Rattus norvegicus: one gene and its partners. The protein of the gene in region 2 interacts with the protein of the main gene of each other region in a pairwise test. Links are inferred from orthologs where the notes say so. Each region holds a gene or a part of one and is shown on either strand. Other genes may lie near its edges.

Region 1 (3,611 bases), on a different chromosome or scaffold from region 2:
CAGGATTGCATTATAGATGGCACATTTGTCATGTTTGTGACAGGACCACAGCCCAGTCTGTGCTTTCTCTCTCGTGCTGCTCATTTGATAATTACTAGCCTATGTGCTTCCCTTTTCTCTGTCTCCATATCCATAAAGTTCACCTAGAAATAACTTACTGGATAAACTACTGGGATTTTGAAAAAACACTAGCAAGGAGGGAGGAGAGAAAAAGTAGAATTTGCTCACATCATTCACTGTATTCAACTGTAAATTACAGTATAAGAAGTTACCTGTGCATAGTTTAAGGCTGTGTCTACCAGACCATTTTTATTTTAAAAAAAAAGTCTGTGTCATGTTTCATGGTTTTTTTTTAACAGATTAGATGATTGCCTTTCAGGTTTCTCAGGACCATGAGACAATGGCCCAAGTTCTATTCAGCAGGAATTTGAGATTGAATGTAGCTTTGACTTTCTGGAGAAAGAGAAGTGTTAGTGAACTTGTAGCTTATTTAGTGAGGTGAGTATGATGTTTTTGTTTCTGTTTAACATGGGTAATTTTTTAATGAGATATGAAAAGTGTCTTTTGAGGAAGTTTTTATTGGTTAAGATGTAAACATTGTATTTAGTGTCCATAGAGACTCTATAGTTTAAATCACATCCATCACCAGTTTAAGTGTAATGAGGGTACAGAAAACTTGCAGATTAAACAAGCTGTTGCTTTTTCTGGTTACAATTCTATTCTTATCTGTAAAACTAAAAATGGGAAACCTGCCATTTGAAAAAAATCCTCTCTGGGAATCTTAAGCATCACCCTCCTCATCGTATTTAAGCCTCTGAAGTACTACCTTACTGAGTGATGCCTACTCCATGCCTCACTGAGTACCTTCTTGAAAAAGATGTGCTTCATCCCCCATGTCGTTTTCTATGCCTCCTACACCCACTCAGGCACTGGAAAGCAAGCCCTGTCTCTGTTTCCCCTTTGTGTCCTCAGTACTTGCCTCATGATAAATGCTGAAGTTATTTGTTGAATATCAAATGCCTCGAGAGGAGGATGGAGATTATAATGTGAATGACTAAGGACACTAAGCAATGGTATCTGTCTTGTACTCACAGGATAGAAGACCTTGGAGTTGTGGTAGATTGCCTTCCTGTTCTAACCAATAGGTAAATGCAGTAATTTTTTTTCCAGAAAAAAAAAAAAGCTTTAAAGAAAAACAAATTTTAATCAGTTCGTATTTTATAACTTTTAGTTTACAGGAAGAAAAGCAATGTATCTCTCTTGGCTGCTGTGTAGACTTATTTCCTCTAGTAAAGTCTTTACTTCAAAGCAGATTTGAAGAGTAAGTGCTAATTTAAATCTCAGCTTCCTTTTTCTCTTTCAACATTCTTGATTTTTCTGTTTTGTGAGTACATGGTAGGAGACTGAGCTCCTGTACGTTTGGGAAATACATGATACCTGTTTTGGTAATTTTAATTAAAACACCTTCACTACACTTTATTTATTGTGACAGTGGGGTAAGAGAGCACCTTCTAGAAGTTGGTTCTCCATCCACCTTGTGAATTCAGATTTACTGTTTGTCAGCTTTAGGCTCAGATTCATTTACCCACTGAGCCCTTTTCTCCAGCCCTATTTCTGTTTCCAAGGCGTTTCCGAAAGGATCTAAGAACAGCTATGTAGTTTCTATGGCTTTTGAATAGATCATGAAAGCAGTAAAATATATTTTTTTAAGGGGAGTGATTGGCGTATATCTGCGGGAACTTTGGGAATATAGTCATTGTTATAGGCTTATAAAACATTTACATTTTGTCACAATATTTTATTTCAGATATGTAATTGTTGGCTTAAACTGGCTTCAAGCAGTAATAAAAAGGTGGTGGTCAGAACTCTCATCTAAATCAGAAATTATAAGTGATGGGTAAGTATAACTTTAAAGATAATTTGTGCTGGACTTTCTATGGAAAAGTATCTTAATTAAACAAAGTAATGAGTTTATTCTGTGATCATCATTGTATAATTTTATTTCCTTCATTTTTAGAGAAATATTAAATAGGTACTTTATGTTTTTGAAAAACCATGCAGAGTCTTATAACTCCTTTTATCTCTGCTGCCAGAACCTTACCTTTTATTTTATGTTTTGTTTTGTGACACTCTCACTGTGTGTCTTCAGCCCCAACATCCTCGGTGCTGATGTGAGACAGCATACCTATCTGGACCCTTCCCTCAGGAGGGGTAACAGCACAGCAGTGGCGTAACCTCTCCAAGCACTGTACCAGGAAGGTAGAAGAAAGCCCTTGGTGTAGTAAGGAATGGAAGTATTCTGACAGGTCTCTGAACATGGTTATAATCGGCATGATTTGACTATTGCCTAAACTTGAAAATGTGTGAGGAGTCTCCCAAATGAACTGAACTCAAGCCAGGCATGGTGGAACACGCCTATAATCCCAGCACTGGGAAGGCCAAGTCAGGAAGAATACAAGTTTGAGGCTAGCATAGGCTGCAGAGCAAGACTCTGTATTTTTTTTTTTAAAGGAACAAAGAAACAAAAAGCCAGATGGTGTTGAAAACAATACAGTCTCTCCCCTAATTCCCTCTTAAATTCCATAACCTTTGTAGACTCAACAAAATTTTCCACTTCATACCCAAGAAAGTTGTCCACTTGGTACAAATGCCTGCTTGCTGTCTCATCTACTTTGACAACCAAATATCTATGAATTTCTGTCTGGAATGGCATATACCATTTTAAGAAGTTGCTTGATTTTAGTATATGGTTTTCTACTGATACAAATAAATTAAAACCAAGTCTTTATCTTACTGTTGGCTTTCTTGTTTTTCTTTCTTTCTTCTTTTTTCCTTCAGAAATATTAAGATTTTAAAGCAACAGTTGAATGGATTATGGGAACAGGAAAACCATCTTACTTTGGTTCCAGGATATACTGGTAATATAGCTAAGGTAATCTATATTTGTAATTTAAGAGTGATACATGAATTTAATATTGATCTATATTGATACGCTTATCTCTTACAGGAAAAAGGCACATTGCTAGTTGGGATTTTAATATTTAAACTTTTAGAGGTCATTGATAGTTGATGATTGCAGAAAGAATTGGTGGTAAGAAGTATTTCCACCTTACTGCTGGGCGTTTGCTGTCTGAGTAGTTATTTGCTGGGAAATAAAGACATTGTATGGTTTAAGGAAATGTTAACGTCACTGGCTCATGAGGTTTTCTTGGACATCTATGTAAAAAGAAACACATGAGATTGAGCATTAACTACATCACTATGTGATTGTACACACATTTCCCTGACCTCTACCCCATCCCATTTCCCCCTCCCTACCTGACCTCTTTGTCTTTGTTTTTGCTGAGACAGTTTTACTCTGGAGCCCTGACTGGCCTGGAATTTGCTATGTAGGCTAGGCTGACCTCAAAGTCACAGAAATCTGCCTGCCTTTGCCTCCCAAGTTCTGGGATTAAAGCCTTATAAACAGTTCTGTTTTTCTGAAGTTGTTTTGTGCTTACAGTTTTAAAGTATATATAACACATTACTGTGAAGACTTTAGTAGAGCTCAAAGCATTGTTTGCCTAACATTTTTTTTTTTTTTTAATGTTACTGAGACAGGTCTGTATAGT
Region 2 (4,321 bases):
AGGTAAATCCCCAACCCCGAGACAGTCTCACTTTATAGCCCAGGTTGGCCTCCCGTGTTCTGAGATTACAAGTGTGAGTCACTACCCCGATCCATCATAATTTACCTGTTCTTTTCTTCTACAGGGTCTGGCACATCCCAAGCTGACCTTTATGCTTTATGTAACTCAGGTTGGTCCTGAATACTTAATCCTCCTGCTTGCATTCTCCTGAATGCTGGGTTACAGAGGTTTATGTGGTGCAGGGGCTTTAAACAAAGGAGTGACACCCTTAGTCCTAACCTAGTTCTTTTCTTTCTTTTGTATTTTTGTTTGTTTTCAAAATAGGGTTTCTTTGTGTAACAAGCACTGGCTGTCCTGGACTCAATTTGTAGACCAGGCTGGCCTCTGCCTCCTGGGTGCCAGGATTAAAGGCACTAGATACTGTGCCCTGCCTGCCCTAATTTCTTAAGAGGTAATTATGAGAAAATATTAAGGACAGTAATTCACTTCTTCTTTTTTATTGATTTATTTTCCTAAGGCATTACATCCCTTTTGAGGTAAATTTATATACAATAAAATGTACAAACCATAACTGTTCTATTCCATGAGTTCTGACAGTTACAGACATTTCCCTGACCTAAACCTTTTAAATCGGTACAGGACAACTGCCCACCTCGGCCAACCCACCTTCAACTGCTAGCCAAATATTTGGACTTTTATCACTACTGGATTAACTAGTATCTGAAAGCTACTGTGTGGGCTGCCAGACTTCTATACCGTTTCATCATCACAAACGTTTCTCTCAGGAACACAGGGATATAGTAGCTCCATTTTGCAGGCTAAAACGTCAGAGCAGGTTAGGTAAGGTGCCTCGAGTCATCGGCTACTGACCAGTTAGCCAGGGCGCTGTGTTAGAAATTTAGGTCGTTAATCCCGGCCTACACTACACTGAGGAACCTGGAGAGTGTGCAAACGTGTGCCTAAGTCACATTATAGCTTCGAATTCAATGGGTGGGGATCAGTGCCATTTACGAGTTCCAAAGAGTCCGGAATCTTCCTGTAGGCAGCGTGCACACGCCATCTTATGCAATGGCTCGGTCTCTACTCCCAAGAGGATGGCAGGAGGGGGCTGGCCAGAGGCCTTCAGTCTACAGAGATGGCTCAGCAAAGGTCGCCTCCTTAGAAGCAGCGCTCTGCCGCTGCACACGTCCCGCCCGGATGCGGCAGGTGCTGCACGCCCCACCTAGGGTCTTGGGTTCCTTCCTCATCGTGTCCGGTGAGGGCTCCGAGCTCGCCACACTCGTCCCTGCGCATCCTTCCTCACAGCCCCGCTTCCCAGCGCTGACTCAGCCCCACGCCCTCTCCGCAGCGCTGCCGCAGCTGCCATGGCAACCGTGCGCCACCGCCTCTCCGCGCCAGCCACGAACTAACGGACTCCGGGCGGCGGCTAGCGGCGCCCCGCCTCGTCCCTCCCCGCTCCTTGACAGCCCTGACCTGCAAGATCTAAGTGGTGAGCCCGAGGGGCCGGGCGTGACTGGGAGAGCCGGGTTGCGGAGCCCCGGAGGGGAGCCTCTCTCCGCAATCCCTCGGCCACCAACACCAGGCCGCTCCCGGGTAGAAGCCGGAGCGTCCAGCGGACAGTAGCACCAGTCGCAGGGTATCATGGGCCTTGTAGTTCGGTGGCTCTTCAGGCTCACCGCCTTATTTGGATGATTCGGGCCGAGAACTACAAAGCCCAGGGGTCCGGAGCGCGGCGACAGACTGATTAATTGGGAGCTGCTCAAATGGTGTTAAAGTGGCTCTTTGTCTGCAGGGAGTTCCGGGGTAGTCGCTGAATTGGGCGGTGTGCATCGGGCGGGGATAGCGCAGGTGAGCCTCAGTGCTGCGCTCCGGCCCCCGCAGCCGCCGCACTCGCGGCCCCGCCCCATCGCCACCGCGCGGGGCCTGGGCTTCTTAGGGTGCTGCCTCTCGGTGCAGAACCGTATGTATGGCGCAAGGTCGATGCGAGACCCGACAAAGCAGACCCGACAAAGTCGTCATTAAAAAGGCCTTTGCCTCCCCCCCCACCGTGAATTTCTAGGTATTTCTGCTTATTTTTCAAGTACCTCAGAGCTGTTGGCATATTAAACCCATTCATTAGCGTGTGTTCAGAGGACAGTAATATTTAAAAGGACAAATGTGAAAGCTGATGAAAGATATATTGCTGTTATTTGGTGGTGTCTTGAATATATATATATATATATATAAATATATATATATATATATAATTTTACATTTTAGCTATTAAGGTTCAATGTCATGGAGTAATGCCTCCTCCCACCCCCAACCCCCTGTTCCATCTCCATTCCCTACTTACCAGCCTGAATGTTGCCCACACGTATTTTGGTTCTACTTTAAAGACCAGTAAGGCTTTAAATGGTTAGTTTTTGCCTTTTTCTGGAGAGCTGTCTTTAGCATTTGTTTCTTTCTTCCCCAAGTACTTGCTAGAACTCACATGTGAAGCTGATGGGTCTGGAGTATTTTGGGGAGGTCTTAAATCACAAACTCTGTTTCATTGACTGATGAGATTTCTTAGTGGGTTTTGATATGCTGTGATCTCACACCCTTGTCTATTTCATTAAGTTTGCTTGACCTTTCCCTCTCTTTGAAGTTTCTATTGCTAGATCTCCTTCATTTCTGATTTGGGAAACATTTCTTCTCTTTTCCTAGCCAGCTTTACTAGAAATTTATTAATTTTATTGAACTTTCTGATGAATCTCCTTTTGACTATGTTGAAGTGTTTCGATTTCCTTTTCTATTTTTTTAAAATTTGACTGATTTATTCACATTTTATTTTGTTTTAGAGACACGGCTTCACTGTGTAGTTTTGGCAAGCTAGAACTCACTATGCAGACCAGGGTGTCCTAGAACTCAGAGATCTGCCTCCCTGTCTCAGAATGCGGGGATTAGGCAGGACTTAGGCATGACTCAGGTCGATTTCCTCTCTTTAGTATGTGTAGTGAGAACTTTGGTTTTTTTAACATGTAATTTACATAGAAATCTTGTAAGAATTGTTTTCATTTTAATCCCAGGTATGGGATATATGGGCTGCTTCAGATTGTCCATAGCAGTTGGCTATGATTTGCCTCATGCTCTACCAGGGATATGACTTTTGCCAACAGGCAGATAGTTTCTGTGACTGTAATGTTTGGAATTCTGGGGACTTCTCAGAGGGTATATAAATGCTATGGCTCCAAGAGGTGGGGTTGGTTGTTGATCACCAGTCATTAAGTAGTTATGCCTATGCAGAGAAGAAACAACAAGAAGAAATTAGATCTCCTGATGGCAAAGATTGAGCTTGCCCTGAGGAACTTGACACCCCTAATCATTATAAGTAGTCCTGATGAAGGCTCTTCAATCCCGGGCCTCTAGCTTGCTTGTTCTGTAGCATGAGTATAAGGTTTGGTAGCCCAAAGCCAGCAGATTCTATGGGCGTCTCTTATTCTCAACTATGTTTCTCTGTACCTCTAGGCATTTTTGTTTTGTTTTGGCCTTTAAGTGAAGATTTCTCTCATTAAAAAAAAATCCCAGATTTCTTTAGTTTCAGGAATTTCTTCATATTTCATAAACAAATCTCCCGGAAATAGAAGAGCTGACCAATCACTCAGATATGAACTCAACCATCCACCTTCCGTACTTCTCCAGGTCTGCAGAAGAGACAGACTTGGCGATTTTCTTCAGCGCCAACTCCAAGTCCCCTCTGGTGACAGGCACCTGCAGCTCCTCCTTGGACAGGGCCGGGATCTCTCCTGGTGTTAAATCATTGATGTGACACCTCATTCTGTGTCTCTGTAATCACAGGCAGAGGAGTACTACAAAGTCACCACAAGCATTCTATTACAAAGTCACCACAAACATCCTGAGGACTATGTAATGTGTGCTTTCCAGATACCACTTAGAAGTCTCCACTTCAGTCACATCCTGAAGTTTCAGAAGAGGTTTAAAACCCATGCAGGCACTGGAGAGAGAGAGAGTTCAGTTGGTGCTGGTTATGGAAGCCTAAAGACCAGGGGTTCAATTCCCAAAGCTCCTCAAAAACCAGGGTGAGGCCAGGGGTGGCGGTACACACATTTAGTCAAGTAACCAGAAAGAAGAAGCAGGTTGACTTCTTTGAGTTTCGCAATTGTGTGACATTTGGAATTCTGGAGACCTCAGAGGCTGTGCTGGTTTGAATAAGCTTGTTCCATGGGAAATGACACTATTAGGAGGTGTGGCCTGGTTGGAGTATGTGCGGCATTTTGGAGGATGCGAGTCACTGTGTAGGCGGGCTTCGAGGTCCTATGCTCAGGCTCTACACTGTGCA
Region 3 (3,611 bases), on a different chromosome or scaffold from region 2:
TAGGAAGGGTTATCTGGGATGACTGGAGATAACGCACCTTTCATGAGTGGGTTAGGAAGGGTTATCTGGGATGGCTGGAGATAACGCACCTTTCATGAGTGGGTTAGGAAGGATTGTCTGGGATGACTGGAGATAACGCACCTTTGGTAGTTTCTTCCTTTCGTTACAAAGCTTTGAACTAGAAACTGTGGACATTAAGATTTTGCTGATTTCAAGTCCAGTTTGAAGCTACAAAAACAAAGAGACGAGACTGAGCTGTAGCAAGCTTCTTCATGTAGAACGAAAGGCGAGATCTCAGCTGTTGGGGAAAAGGGACTTCCTGGGGGCAAAGCATTGCTCAGCTGCAGTGACTTGGATGGGGCCAAAGCAGGACTGCAGGAGCCCAGGAGTTCAGCCAGCCTGGGAGGCGCCGTGAGCCTCCATGTGGAAGCAAAGAAAAGAAAGAAAACAAAACTAAACAATAGAGCTCAAAACCCGGACATCGTTGAGGAAGAATAACCCCGTATGTTGGTTTGGTCATAGGTGACTCTCACACCGGAACTGAAGTACGTGAGGCGTCAGCGGTCTCACCTGAGAGGGTGGGTATGGCAAGGTCTGTTGGCAACGTAGAGAAGTCTATGGAGGCATGGGCTAAGCAAGAATTTTGTTACCACGGCAAAAACAGAGACAGTCGTAACAACCCAGAATACCAAAACAGTGCAGACTATGGCTGGGATCATGAGAGTGAAGCACACATAGATGAGGCCACGGCAGAGACAAAAGTTGCTACTGACCTCACACGCTCTATCTTGAAACAGCCTGCGCTGGTGCTCCTCCTCCTTTAGTTTTTCCTCTAGATATTTAATCTTCTCCTGCAAGAGAAGGAACGTGGATGAAAGCCAGAGCCAAATGTCCCTCATCCCCTTTCCAGTGCACACTGCATACCTTACACACGTGCACTGCATACCTTACACATGTGTACTGTATACTTTACACATGCACTGTATACCTTACACATGTGCACTGTATACCTTACAAATGCACTGCATACCTTACACACGTGCACTGCATACCTTACACATGTGTACTGTATACTTTACACATGCACTGTATACCTTACACATGTGCACTGTATACCTTACAAATGCACTGCATACCTTACACACATGCACTGTATACCTTACACATGTGCACTGTATACCTTACAAATGCACTGCATAACTTACACATGTGCACTGTATACCTTACACATGTGCACTGCATACCTTACACATGTGCACTACATACCTTACACATGTGCACTGTATACCTTACACATGTGCACTGCATACCTTACACATGTGCACTGTATACCTTACACATGTGCACTGTATACCTTACACATGTGCACTGCATACCTTACACATGTGCACTGTATACCTTACACATGTGCACTGTATACCTTACACATGTGCACTGCATACCTTACACATGTGCACTGTATACCTTACACATGTGCACTGTATATCTTACACATGTGCACTGCATACCTTACACATGTGCACTGTATACCTTACACATGTGCACTGTATACCTTAGACACTCACTGTATACCTTACACACGCACATATTACCTTGGTGTGGTTCAGAATTGGAACCATGACAGAAGTGTCAAAGGCAGAGACTTCTGTGTATGGAGCATAAGAGGGCCTACAAAGAGGGGTTTGGGGGGTGGGGTTCTGAAACAATTCTGTGCAATAAGGACTTGGGGGAGGAGGAACCCCATGTGGGAGAGGTGTGACCATATACTATCCTTTAGGTCAGACACCGGCTGAATGGAAATGTTCCATCATCATAGAAGCCAAGCCCATCCTCTGATAGCCGAGTGTGACAGAACACACTGTCTCCACGGGCAGGATTTACCCAGATTACTGAGCACTCTACAGGAACTGCCCCAATCTGTGACCGTTCCGTCACGTTCAATGCCAGCTTCGCCTCGCTCCTGGCACCGTAGCTTCAGGGACAAGCAGACGCTTACCTCCGCAGTCTGCTGGGTCGTCGTCAGCCTCAAACACTCTTTTTCTAAGACGTCCAGCTTCTCCAGTTTAGCGTGTAGCTTCATCTGATCTTGTTCTTTTTCCCTCTGAAGCTGGGCCTGGTGAAGATAAGAACCAATTCCACACTTGGCAGCGATGCCAGTGGATCACGAACAACATAACTTCTGAGAAACCAAAATATAACATAAGTCGGTTGCTAGAAGCATGTATACACACGTGTGTGTGCATATATGAGTAGAAATTCAAATCCTTTTAAGGTGCCACTGTAAGAGATGATGGACACGTTGCTGACTTAGCATTGGCAGAATAAATTCCTCTTTGTGTCTTTCTACAACAGTGGCACTAGGCAAAACATCACAGCAACACTTACAGTAAGGAGACGAGGTGTGTGTGACTCACGGGTGACCACGTCGCTCACTCCCAGGCTCCCTGACTCAACGGAAAGAGCAGCCAGGGAATAAACCATGAAGAAAGTCACCGTGCACACACATGCACACTGTCTTACAGGACTGTTTATTACCAACCACGTCATGAGGACAACCGACGAGGGCCAAGGGAGACCTGTATGTGCTCTCCTCTGAACATAAAATGGCTCTAAATAGGAAGGCCACTAAGACAAAATGCAAAGCGAGCAGCAGAAGAGCGGGGACTTCTGCCCAGTCCTGGAGCCTCAGAGAACAGAGGGAGTAAGACAGAAGCCCGCTGGAAGAAAAAAGACCAAAAATGTCCAAAAGTAATTTAAAATGGAGAGATTAACACAGACTAGGAATGGAACATTGGGAGGAGAATTCGGGGTGCTTGTGAGAAAACTCCAAGAAAACAAGAGTCTTGTGAGCTCAGTTTCTTCAAACCCTGGAATTGTTCTTGTATCATTTCCCTGCTTCTCCTGGTGCAGCGGATGGAGGGAGTCTACTCAATACGGCTGCCGCCGTTACTCAATGAGATGTAAACTGTCCATCACCGCCTGTGGAACAGGCTCCTGCCCCGTGTGGCTTATCTGTGGGATTACATACGCAGCTTGTACTCAGGAGAACTTTATCAGTGACCTTTCTTACCCTCACTATGTAATTCGTCTGAGCTCTGAACGGAGTTGGCTATGGCATGAGACGTTAGTTGGTCATTTATTGCAGTTCTCAACCTTTTTAAAAGTGCTGTAACCCTTTAGTACAGTTCTTCATATTCTGGTAAACCCCCAACCACAAAATTTTGTTGCTACTTCATTCATAACTGTAATTTTCTACTTTTATGAATCTGTGATGGTTTGCATATGCATATGCTCAAAAAAATGGCACTATTAGGAGGTGTGGCCTTGTTGGAGGAGGTGTATGACTGTCAGACTGGGCTTGGAGACCCTCCTCCTGGCTACCTGAGGATGCTCAGTCTTTCCTGGCTTCCTTTGGGTGAAGATGTAGAACTCAGCCCCTCCTGCCCCGTGCCTGCCTGGACACTGCCATGCTCCTGCCTTGATGATAATGGACTGAACCTCTGAACCTGTAAGCCAGCCCCAGTTAAATGTTGTCCTTATGAGACTTGCCTTGGTCATGGCGTCTGTTCACAGCGAGACCCTCACTGAGACAGAATCGTAGTGTGAATAGC
Region 4 (4,394 bases), on a different chromosome or scaffold from region 2:
AATATATACAGGTCAGTGGTTTTAAAACGAAGTTGCTTTGCCTTTAGACACATCATATAGGATAGCAAATGGAACCTTGGGAGAGGTGGAACCTCGTGAGCTATGTAGCTCTGAACAAATTATATGCCTTTCTGAACCCTGATCTGTTATGAGGATTAAATGACTCTCACACCCAGCACTACACATGGGAGGTATGATGCTGACGATTATATTGTTCCTTCTTGAATTTAATTGTTCCAGGAAAAGGTATGTTCAATTCTACTGATGAGTGACAATTTATAATAGAAACCAGGTTAGGAGGGTCTGTAACTCAGTTTGTAGGTTGTCTGCCTGGCAAGCAGGAAGACCTTATACACCGGGTATGCATGGCACACACTTGTAATGCCGATATTTAGTGATCAGTTCAGGGTCATCCACAGAACGTTCAAGGCCAGCTTAGGCCAGAGACCTTGTCTATACACATATTTATATTAAAAGTTAAAACCACTTTTGGGGGCTGGAGAGGTGGCTCAGCGGTTAAGAGCACTGAGTGCTCTTCCAGAGGTCCTGAGTTCAATTCCCAGCAACCACATGGTGGCTCACAACCATCTGTAACGGGATCCGATGCCCTCTTCTGGTGTGTCTGAAGACAACTACAGTGTACTCATATAAACAAACAAACCACTTTTTTTTCCTGCCGAATTCACAGATAGTCTGAGGAAGCCACTCAAAAATGTGGCAAATGTTAAATGCTGTACATTTTAGTAAACTTCTTTACAGTTAGAATGGCTGGTTTGGGGGTTGGGGATTTAGCTCAGCGGTAGAGCACTTGCCTAGCAAGCGCAAGGCCCTGGGTTCAGTCCCCAGCTCTGAAAAAAAAAAAAAAAAGAATGGCTGGTTTGAAGCAATGGCGCTCTACTGAGGGGTTTACACTTTCAAGATCAGTTACCATTACATTTACTTATCCAACACACACACACACACACACACACACACACACACACACACACACACACACACGAGAGAGAGAGAGAGAGAGAGAGAGAGAGAGAGAGAGAGAGAATGAGAGACAGAGAGAGCCTTTCATAACTACGGTGTCATGATATATTAGCTGAAGATTTAGCATATATGCCGGGGAGAAATAGGAAGTAGAGGACCTTTGTACCAAATATCTGCGGAACATATATTAAACCAGAAAGACCGGAAGAAAGATCACAAAATGCCCTAGGGTGGAACCTGGATCTGCCACTGGTTGTCCAGGACCCAGAGGTCAGCCATTAAAATATGAATACAGATAGCATTACAGTGGACTGAACGGGTTATAAAGGAATATATGTATACATATATGCATGCAATAACAATTAGGGAGGAAAAGGCCACGAATTTGAAGGATAGTGGGGAACGGGCGTGTATATGTGAGGATTTGTAGAAAGGAAACAGAAAAGGGAAATGTTGCAATCAAATTACAATCTCAAAAACAAACCAAATAGCAAAACCACCCTAGATGACCTTTTAACCTTTTGGTCTGCGCTAAAGCCACGCCCTTTTGTGTGCGCGCTCCTTAGGCTCGCTTCCGTCCGGAGAGGAGGGACTTCCTGTCTGCGTTCGCTTGACTGCGGAAGTGGATACAGACAGCTCGGGTTGGTCTGAGTTTTGGGAGCTTTGCGCGTGTGCGATCGTTACTGCTTTCCTCTGGAAAGATGCCGGGACTGGCTGCCGCTAGCCCTGCCCCGCCCGAGGCTCAGGAGAAGAAGCCTCTGAAGCCCTGCTGTGCCTGCCCGGAGACCAAGAAGGCGCGTGATGCGTGGTCAGTGCGCAGCCGGGGAGGGGACTCCGGGCTTCCGCTGCTTGGCTCCGTTCTACTCTCTGGCATCTGTCTTAGTTAGGGGTCAACGAGAGGGCAAGAGGTTAGATTGACCCCAAAGTTCGGGTCCTTCATTCCTTGCTACAAATGCCTTTCAGGCTTCTTAGATGCATAAAGATGTTCCTTGATTTAAAGGCACTTAAAATGTGTGGAGACTTGTTACCAGCCAGTACTATGCCACCTGCTATGGTATAGATTTACTAAGACCCAGGTGTAAATGTTTCAGGTAATCTCTAGTAATTTTTTTTTCTTTGAAACGTGTGAATAGTAGAACACAGGGTACATTTCTGAAGGGATACCCTTTCCCAGAAGTTAGAAGTCACCTGTCAGGGACTGGAGAGATGGCTCAGTGGATAAAAGCCCTGGTTGACCTTCCAGAGAGAGGGCCTGGCTTCGATTCCCACCACTCAGGCGTTGGTTAACAGTCTTCTGTAATTCCAGTCCCAGAAGAATCCGACGCCCCCTTCTAGCTTTTTCAGGCACTGCACACACATGGTGCACAGGTGTACATGCAGGCAAAATACCTATACACATAAAATAAAAACAAATTGCAAAAAGCCAGTCTGTACAGATTAGGTGATAATAATGTTTACCTATTCTATCATCAAATCACAAAAGGTTTTGCTTGGTCTCCTGACTTTTATGTAGCCTCAATTCTGGAGCAGATACTGGGGTCCTCAGATGGTGGGGAATATGCATCTCCACCTTTTTCTCCCATCAAAGTAGAAAAATAGTCGTGGAACCAAATATAGATGCTCATGGTGTAGTCTCATTACTGGGGAGACCGAAACAAATTTAAGTCCAGCCTGAGCATCAGAGCGAGACCATGTCTCCAAAAAAAAAAAAAAAAAATAGACAAAACAAAGTATTCCTTGGTATAGGAAGGTAATAAGAGTGCACCTCAGTTATTTTATTCTCACTACTTTTCAAGCCATACCATAACTGGAGAATTTAAAGGTCGGTCTGATACCAAGGTTCCTGAAGTGGAGACTTCGGGAAGTGTGTGGCTCAAGATCCAGAGCTTAGAAATTCAGGCAGGCTCTGAATCCTGCTCCTCCAACTTGGTGACCTTATGAAGATACTTAACAAGTCTGCCTCACGTGTGTGTTGAGTGAGGCCAGCATTTCTGTAAGGTTTAGCAGTGAGTGTAAGTGGTGAGTGAAAGCTAGCTGTTATACTCAACCCACTGCCCTGCCCAGTCTGCTCCTCTGCTGGTAAGGATTTTAATAGAAGAACCCATTTCCCTCCTCTTTGAGACGGGGGTCTTGACATGTAGCCCAGGCTAGCCTCCTACTCAGGAGTCTCCTGCCTTAGCTTCCCAAACATGATTACAAGGCATGTGTCAGCACATTCTGGCTCTCGTGATTACTCTGTGGATTTTATCATTGAAGTCCCTTAACCTTCCAAAGAAGGATTCATCTTGGGGGCTCGTGGCTACCAGGTCTTTTTGGATGTTTATGTCGTTCGATGTTTAATGATTAAAAGTAGGCTTAGGTGTTCGAATGTAAGGGGAAAAGACAAAACAGGAGCTTAATTTCTGTGTGATAGTAGGCCCAAAAGTTAAACTCTTTCCTCGTCATTTTATGTAAACATTCAGTTTATTTCATTATAAAGAAATGTTTAGAGGTATGTCTGACTATAAAAGGGGCTGCTTGCCCCCTCCTCTCTCTCTCTTTTCTCTGCTCTCTTGCCTTCTTCTCCTTTGTCCCTTCTCTCCCCACTTCCCATCCCCCTTCCCTCCATGTGCTCATGGCTGGCCTTTACTTCTCCCCTTTTCTACTCTTCTTCTCTCATTAAACCTTTCCGAGTGGGGGGAAAAAATGTTTATTTTGGGTATAGACTAAAGGCATCATTCGTTCTACATAATTATTTCATGTAATTAGAACCTTCCCCAAACAACAACAAAAACAAACTTCAAAACCTCAGTTCTGTGGAACACCTTTGTGGGAACAGAACCGTCTTAAGAGCAAATACAGAGCGCAAAGATGCTGAGCTGTATGCTATAGGGGACTTTCGTTTGTAACTCCAGCCACATTCTGCACACGCACTGTCTCACTCCCATCACAGACTCCCCACGATTCTGCTTGTTGTCTACTTACTAGGTAACGAGTGCATTTTATTTTATAGCATCATTGAGAAAGGAGAAGAACACTGTGGACATCTCATCGAGGCCCACAAGGAGTGCATGAGAGCGCTGGGATTTAAGATATGACATGGTAAGTGAACTCTGTTGCTTCACGTCTGAGTGTCACCTTAGAGAGTCAACTACAAGACAGCATTCTCCTAATGGTAGCTTGCCTGGTTAATCTAGCATGTTTAAGTAGCAGCTTAAAAATAACTTTGCAGTTTCTAGCATGGGGTTGTAATGGTTTGGTGCCAACAATTTGAGGCACCCATTAGATCTGAGACGGTATGAAGCTTTTGAGAACTGGCTTGATAAGGGCCTTTAGTTACATTGTAGTCAGGGAGAAGGCATAGCCGTGGGAGGCACACTATTTTCCAAGGTGAAGGAACTAAGTGGAAAATATTCTGTTTCCTGTTTCTAATATGG
Region 5 (4,092 bases), on a different chromosome or scaffold from region 2:
GGACCTCTGGAAGAACAGTCAATGCTCTTAACCACTGAGCCATCTCTCCAGACCCCAATAATTTCTTTTTTTCTGTGATTCACCATTGCCCACTTCAGACCCACTGGTTGACATTCCCTAATATCAGCCACAACCTATCCACACATTAAAATGGTTAAGAGCACTGGTTCTGGTGTGAGGTGTGTAGGTCAGAGGTAAAAGTGCACAGCATGAGCAAGGCTCTAGGTTTAATTTGAAGTACGAGAGCAAAAACAAAAGCAAGCTCTGAAGTCAGTCTGTCAAGTCCCAGAAGGTGTAAGACTTAGACTGTTGACCAGTGTTCTCATCTGCAAAATGTGCACAACTTTCAGGAGTTCCTTTAATTCAGTCCTCTATTCTGCTTGGTTTGCGGTTGGCACATTAATGTTACCATTGCAACCTGTTTAGTAAAGATTTGCAAAAGTACTTGGAAGCCAGTATCTCGCTGACGAATGGAGCTTTCGGAGAGAGCAGCATTTACAAACAGCAAAGGATGAAGGCAAGTTTACCCAAGGTCACGTGATCCCGACTAGCCTTGAGGGATCACTGACACCCCAGGCGGATTTTATTTCCCAGGTAAGCGGATTACCTGGCCAACAGGAAGCAGAGTCGGAACCCGGGCGGTAATGGCCGGGGATGCCAGGCTCAAGGAGCGCAGAGCACTAGCCAGCGCGCACAGGGCCATGGAATGGTCAGATTCCTCCGTACAGAACTCGCTTTTACCTTTACCCAGAGCCTGGTGCTCTTAAATGACGTTTCATTCGGGGTACCGTCGCTTTTCAATGACGTAAGAGAGGCGGGCACAGAAGTGCAGCGCCGTAAGATACAAGCTTTCTTTCCTCCCTAGAACAAGTTCTTAGCCAATCATTGGAAGGCACTGAGGTCACATGATGGAAGACAGTCCCCGCCCCTCAGAGCCGTCAAAACAATTGCCTCGAGCGGCAGCCATGATATATTTAAAGGAGCAGTACCCACGAAGGCGGCAGCGGGACCAGCAGACTGCAGGTGAGTCTTTGGGAGTACCCCTGGGGCTGAGAATTAAGATTACACTAACTCTTATTCCCACATTCTGGGACAAATGAGTAAGTCACTTCCTACTAACCACACAAAACTTCAGACTGACTCAAAAACTCCGCCCCCCGCGATTCTTCCCCGCCCCTCGGCGTCCAGACAGACAGTAGGACAACCTGCCCCGCCCCCTGTGGGAACCCCTGACTCCGTGACCTCGAGCTTGTCCGCTGTCGGGTCTTGGTCAGCGACTCTGCCCTCACTTCCACCTTCCTCTCCCCTCAGCCCTCGAAGATCTTACTTCTGTCCTTACCCTCGGCTCTCAGGGCAAGTTAGGACCCTTAGACACTCCTGATTGTAGGCCCCCAGGCTTGGATAGCCTGCGCTCAGCGCCTTTCTCTATGACCCCACTGTGCACGGCAGATCTGCTACGCTTCCCTGGACCATCCGGCACTTGAGAGGCAACTTAAGGTGCCTGTTAGGTGATTATGTCAGACAAAGCCATGAAAGGCGGCTATTGCGGTAATCCAGTCGGGAATCTGTAACCAGGTCTCCCTTTAACAGGCACACCACACCCATTGCTTCAGGTCTCAGATTAAATCGGTCTTTCTTTCCCTTATTGGGAGAAAGTAACTCCTCAGAGCTAGAACGAGGAGATTGAGGAAGAAGGGACATTAGTACGAGTCTCTGAAGAACCTGTAGGCTGAAGGAGGGAGGGTGTTTGTCCTGGGTGGGGCTCTGTGCCAGGTCCTCTGGGAGGCTGTGAGGTGGTGACAGAGAAGGGGTGGGACTGCCGGACTTCTGGACTTTGGGCAGTACAAATCCTTCTAAATCCTTAGTTGCAGGTCAGAGTTTCTTCCGGGCTCTGGCCTGGGAGCCACCTGAAACCAAGGGCTTCTGCTCTGTACACAGGTAAGGAGACTTCGGAAATGAGTTTGGAGGAAGTAGGAAGACAGTCTGAATTCTGGGGGTGGGGTGGGCTGGGAAAGTTAGTTGGAAAGGAGTTTAGCAGGTCGGGAGGTGCTGGGCTTAGTCCCTTGCTGATGCAGTCTGAAGACCTTCAACCTTCCAAGCCCTGTAATAACCACTGCTGTTTCCTCTCCCCCTCCTTCACTAAGCTTGGGTCCTTCCCCTTTATATTGGGACAGTGCTTTCTGCACAGCTCTTCCACCCGCCCTCTGTGATCCTTACAGTGCTTCACATCCCCTGCTTCCTTTTCCTAACCCATGCTCTCTCTCCAATTGCCAAGTCCTAAATTCCTCTAGCTCTAAGCCCGCCCGATTGTTCTAAAGATCTTTATTGAAGTTCATTCCTCTCCCTCACCTTACTTTTACGGTTAGTGCGGTGGAATTTCCTCCTCTTTACCTAGGCCCTTTCGTCAGCTTAGTCATGGGGGTCTCCCATCCTCTTCCCTTCGTGTGGATGCCCACCAGTCTCTAACATTGTGTCTTTCGTCGTTTCCACCTGAACTCTGTGGTTTCTCTTTAGCTGAGGATGTCAGGCCTGGTATTGGGGCAGCGGGATGAGCCTGCAGGGCACCGGCTCAGTCAAGAGGAGATCTTGGGCAGTACCAGGTTGGTGAGCCAAGGGCTGGAGTCCCTACACAGTGAGCACCAGGCTGTGCTACAGAGCCTGTCCCACACCATCGAGTGTCTGCAACAGGGAGGCCATGAGGAAGGACTGGTGCATGAGAAAGCCCGGCAGCTGCGACGGTCTATGGAGAACATTGAGCTGGGACTCAGCGAGGCCCAGGTAAGAATCAGGGGTGATACCAAGTGTTCCAGTTATCTGATGCAAGTTTGGGGTCACCTTGTCCTAGAAACTTGGATTTGTTAATTCATTAAATATTCATTAAGTGACTACTGTGTGTCTCAACTCTTGTGAATGCTGGTGGTGCATTACAGAACAACACTGAGTAATTCCTCTCTGAGCTGATATTATAGCTGGGGGGATAGCTAGAACACAGGTCCATAAGTAAATGATTTACTGTGCCAGAGTAATCATTGCTGAGGACAGAACAAAGACAAAGACAGAAGGGAAGGAGCTGGAGAGATGGCGCTGGCTGCTCTTCCAGAGGTCCTGAGTTCAATTCCCAGCAATGGTGGCTCACAACCATCTGTAATGGGACCCGATGCCCTCTTCTGGTATGTCTGAAGAGAATGTAGTCATAGACATAAAATAAATAAATCTTTAAGAAAGGAGGGAAGTAGGAAGAGGATGCATTTTCACACAGATTGGTCATAAAATAACCTCACTTTTGAGCAAAGATTTGAGGGTGAAAAAGGAAGTCATGGGATAAAGGGTTCCAAGCAGGTAGGACAGGTGCAAAGGCTTTGCGTGGAGCCTGGGGTGAATTTAGTGATTTACAGCGCTGGTGTGGCTTTCTACAGGGTACACAGTGAGTGAGGGGACACAGTAGATCACTCCGGAGGAGGAAGGATCCCATCAGAGACATCCACAGATAGTGTGGAGCCGGCAGGCTGTCCTGGGGTTTTTTGCTTGTCTGTTGAGAGAGATGGGAGCTGTTGGGACGTCTGAGGAGGGATGGGACTCAGCCTGGGAGAGAGTAGAACTAGAGACTAACAGAGACAGGGAGGCCTGGGAGAGGCTGCTATTGTCTAGGTAGGAACTGGCAGTTTGGCATCTGATGAAAACAATAGGGGTGCTGGCAGCTGGGGTTAGTTTATGTATTTAATTCCGTTCATTCATTTATGGATTTAGTTATTTATTTTATGTATATGAGTATACTGTCACTCTCTTCAGACACACCAGAAGACAGCATTGGATCCCATTACAGATGGTTGTGAGTCACCATGTGGGTGCTGGGAATTAAACTCAGGACCTCTGGAAGAGCGGTCAGTGCTCTGAGCCTCTGACCCATCGCTCCAGCCCGAGTATTTCTCTTTTTTAATTCCATTCATTTATTTTATATATACAGGTGTTTTGTCTGCATCTATGAGTATATGCTACCTGTAATCTAGTATGTGCAGAGGCCAGAAGAGGCCATTGGAGCCTCTGGAACTGGAGTTACAGGTGGCTGTGAGCCAACATGTTGGTGCTAAGAAT

The links.
Region 1: the proteins of Katnal1 (region 2) and Katnbl1 interact in binary tests that used the Homo sapiens proteins (3 or more experiments, as listed by UniProt). The two-hybrid records come from large-scale screens. The link is inferred for Rattus norvegicus from reciprocal best matches to the Homo sapiens genes KATNAL1 and KATNBL1.
Region 3: the proteins of Katnal1 (region 2) and Cep57l1 interact in binary tests that used the Homo sapiens proteins (3 or more experiments, as listed by UniProt). The two-hybrid records come from large-scale screens. The link is inferred for Rattus norvegicus from reciprocal best matches to the Homo sapiens genes KATNAL1 and CEP57L1.
Region 4: the proteins of Katnal1 (region 2) and Cox17 interact in binary tests that used the Homo sapiens proteins (3 or more experiments, as listed by UniProt). The two-hybrid records come from large-scale screens. The link is inferred for Rattus norvegicus from reciprocal best matches to the Homo sapiens genes KATNAL1 and COX17.
Region 5: the proteins of Katnal1 (region 2) and Klc4 interact in binary tests that used the Homo sapiens proteins (3 or more experiments, as listed by UniProt). The two-hybrid records come from large-scale screens. The link is inferred for Rattus norvegicus from reciprocal best matches to the Homo sapiens genes KATNAL1 and KLC4.

The regions. Positions count from the first base shown.
Region 1 is NC_086021.1:119,672,587-119,676,197, forward strand, and holds part of Katnbl1 (KATNB1-like protein 1), read left to right. Parts: intron 1-379; coding exon 380-498; intron 499-1,094; coding exon 1,095-1,145; intron 1,146-1,231; coding exon 1,232-1,321; intron 1,322-1,807; coding exon 1,808-1,897; intron 1,898-2,838; coding exon 2,839-2,932; coding exon of another isoform or gene 2,933-2,989; exon of another isoform or gene 2,990-3,611.
Region 2 is NC_086030.1:11,137,730-11,142,050, forward strand, and holds the start of Katnal1 (katanin p60 ATPase-containing subunit A-like 1), read left to right. Parts: upstream 1-1,423; 5' UTR 1,424-1,489; exon of another isoform or gene 1,490-2,059; intron 2,060-4,321. UniProt on the Homo sapiens protein: Regulates microtubule dynamics in Sertoli cells, a process that is essential for spermiogenesis and male fertility. Severs microtubules in an ATP-dependent manner, promoting rapid reorganization of cellular microtubule arrays.
Region 3 is NC_086038.1:46,828,239-46,831,849, forward strand, and holds part of Cep57l1 (centrosomal protein CEP57L1), read right to left. Parts: intron 2,114-3,611; coding exon 1,997-2,113; intron 852-1,996; coding exon 774-851; intron 229-773; coding exon 142-228; intron 1-141. UniProt on the Homo sapiens protein: Centrosomal protein which may be required for microtubule attachment to centrosomes.
Region 4 is NC_086029.1:75,909,212-75,913,605, reverse strand, and holds the start of Cox17 (COX17 homolog, cytochrome c oxidase assembly protein), read left to right. Parts: upstream 1-1,586; 5' UTR 1,587-1,679; coding exon 1,680-1,786; intron 1,787-3,970; coding exon 3,971-4,055; 3' UTR 4,056-4,059; exon of another isoform or gene 4,060-4,394.
Region 5 is NC_086027.1:21,833,872-21,837,963, forward strand, and holds the start of Klc4 (kinesin light chain 4), read left to right. Parts: upstream 1-1,263; 5' UTR 1,264-1,497; exon of another isoform or gene 1,498-1,508; intron 1,509-1,865; 5' UTR 1,866-1,938; intron 1,939-2,514; 5' UTR 2,515-2,520; coding exon 2,521-2,778; intron 2,779-4,092. Other genes in the region: Mrpl2 (large ribosomal subunit protein uL2m precursor), read right to left, coding at 608-703.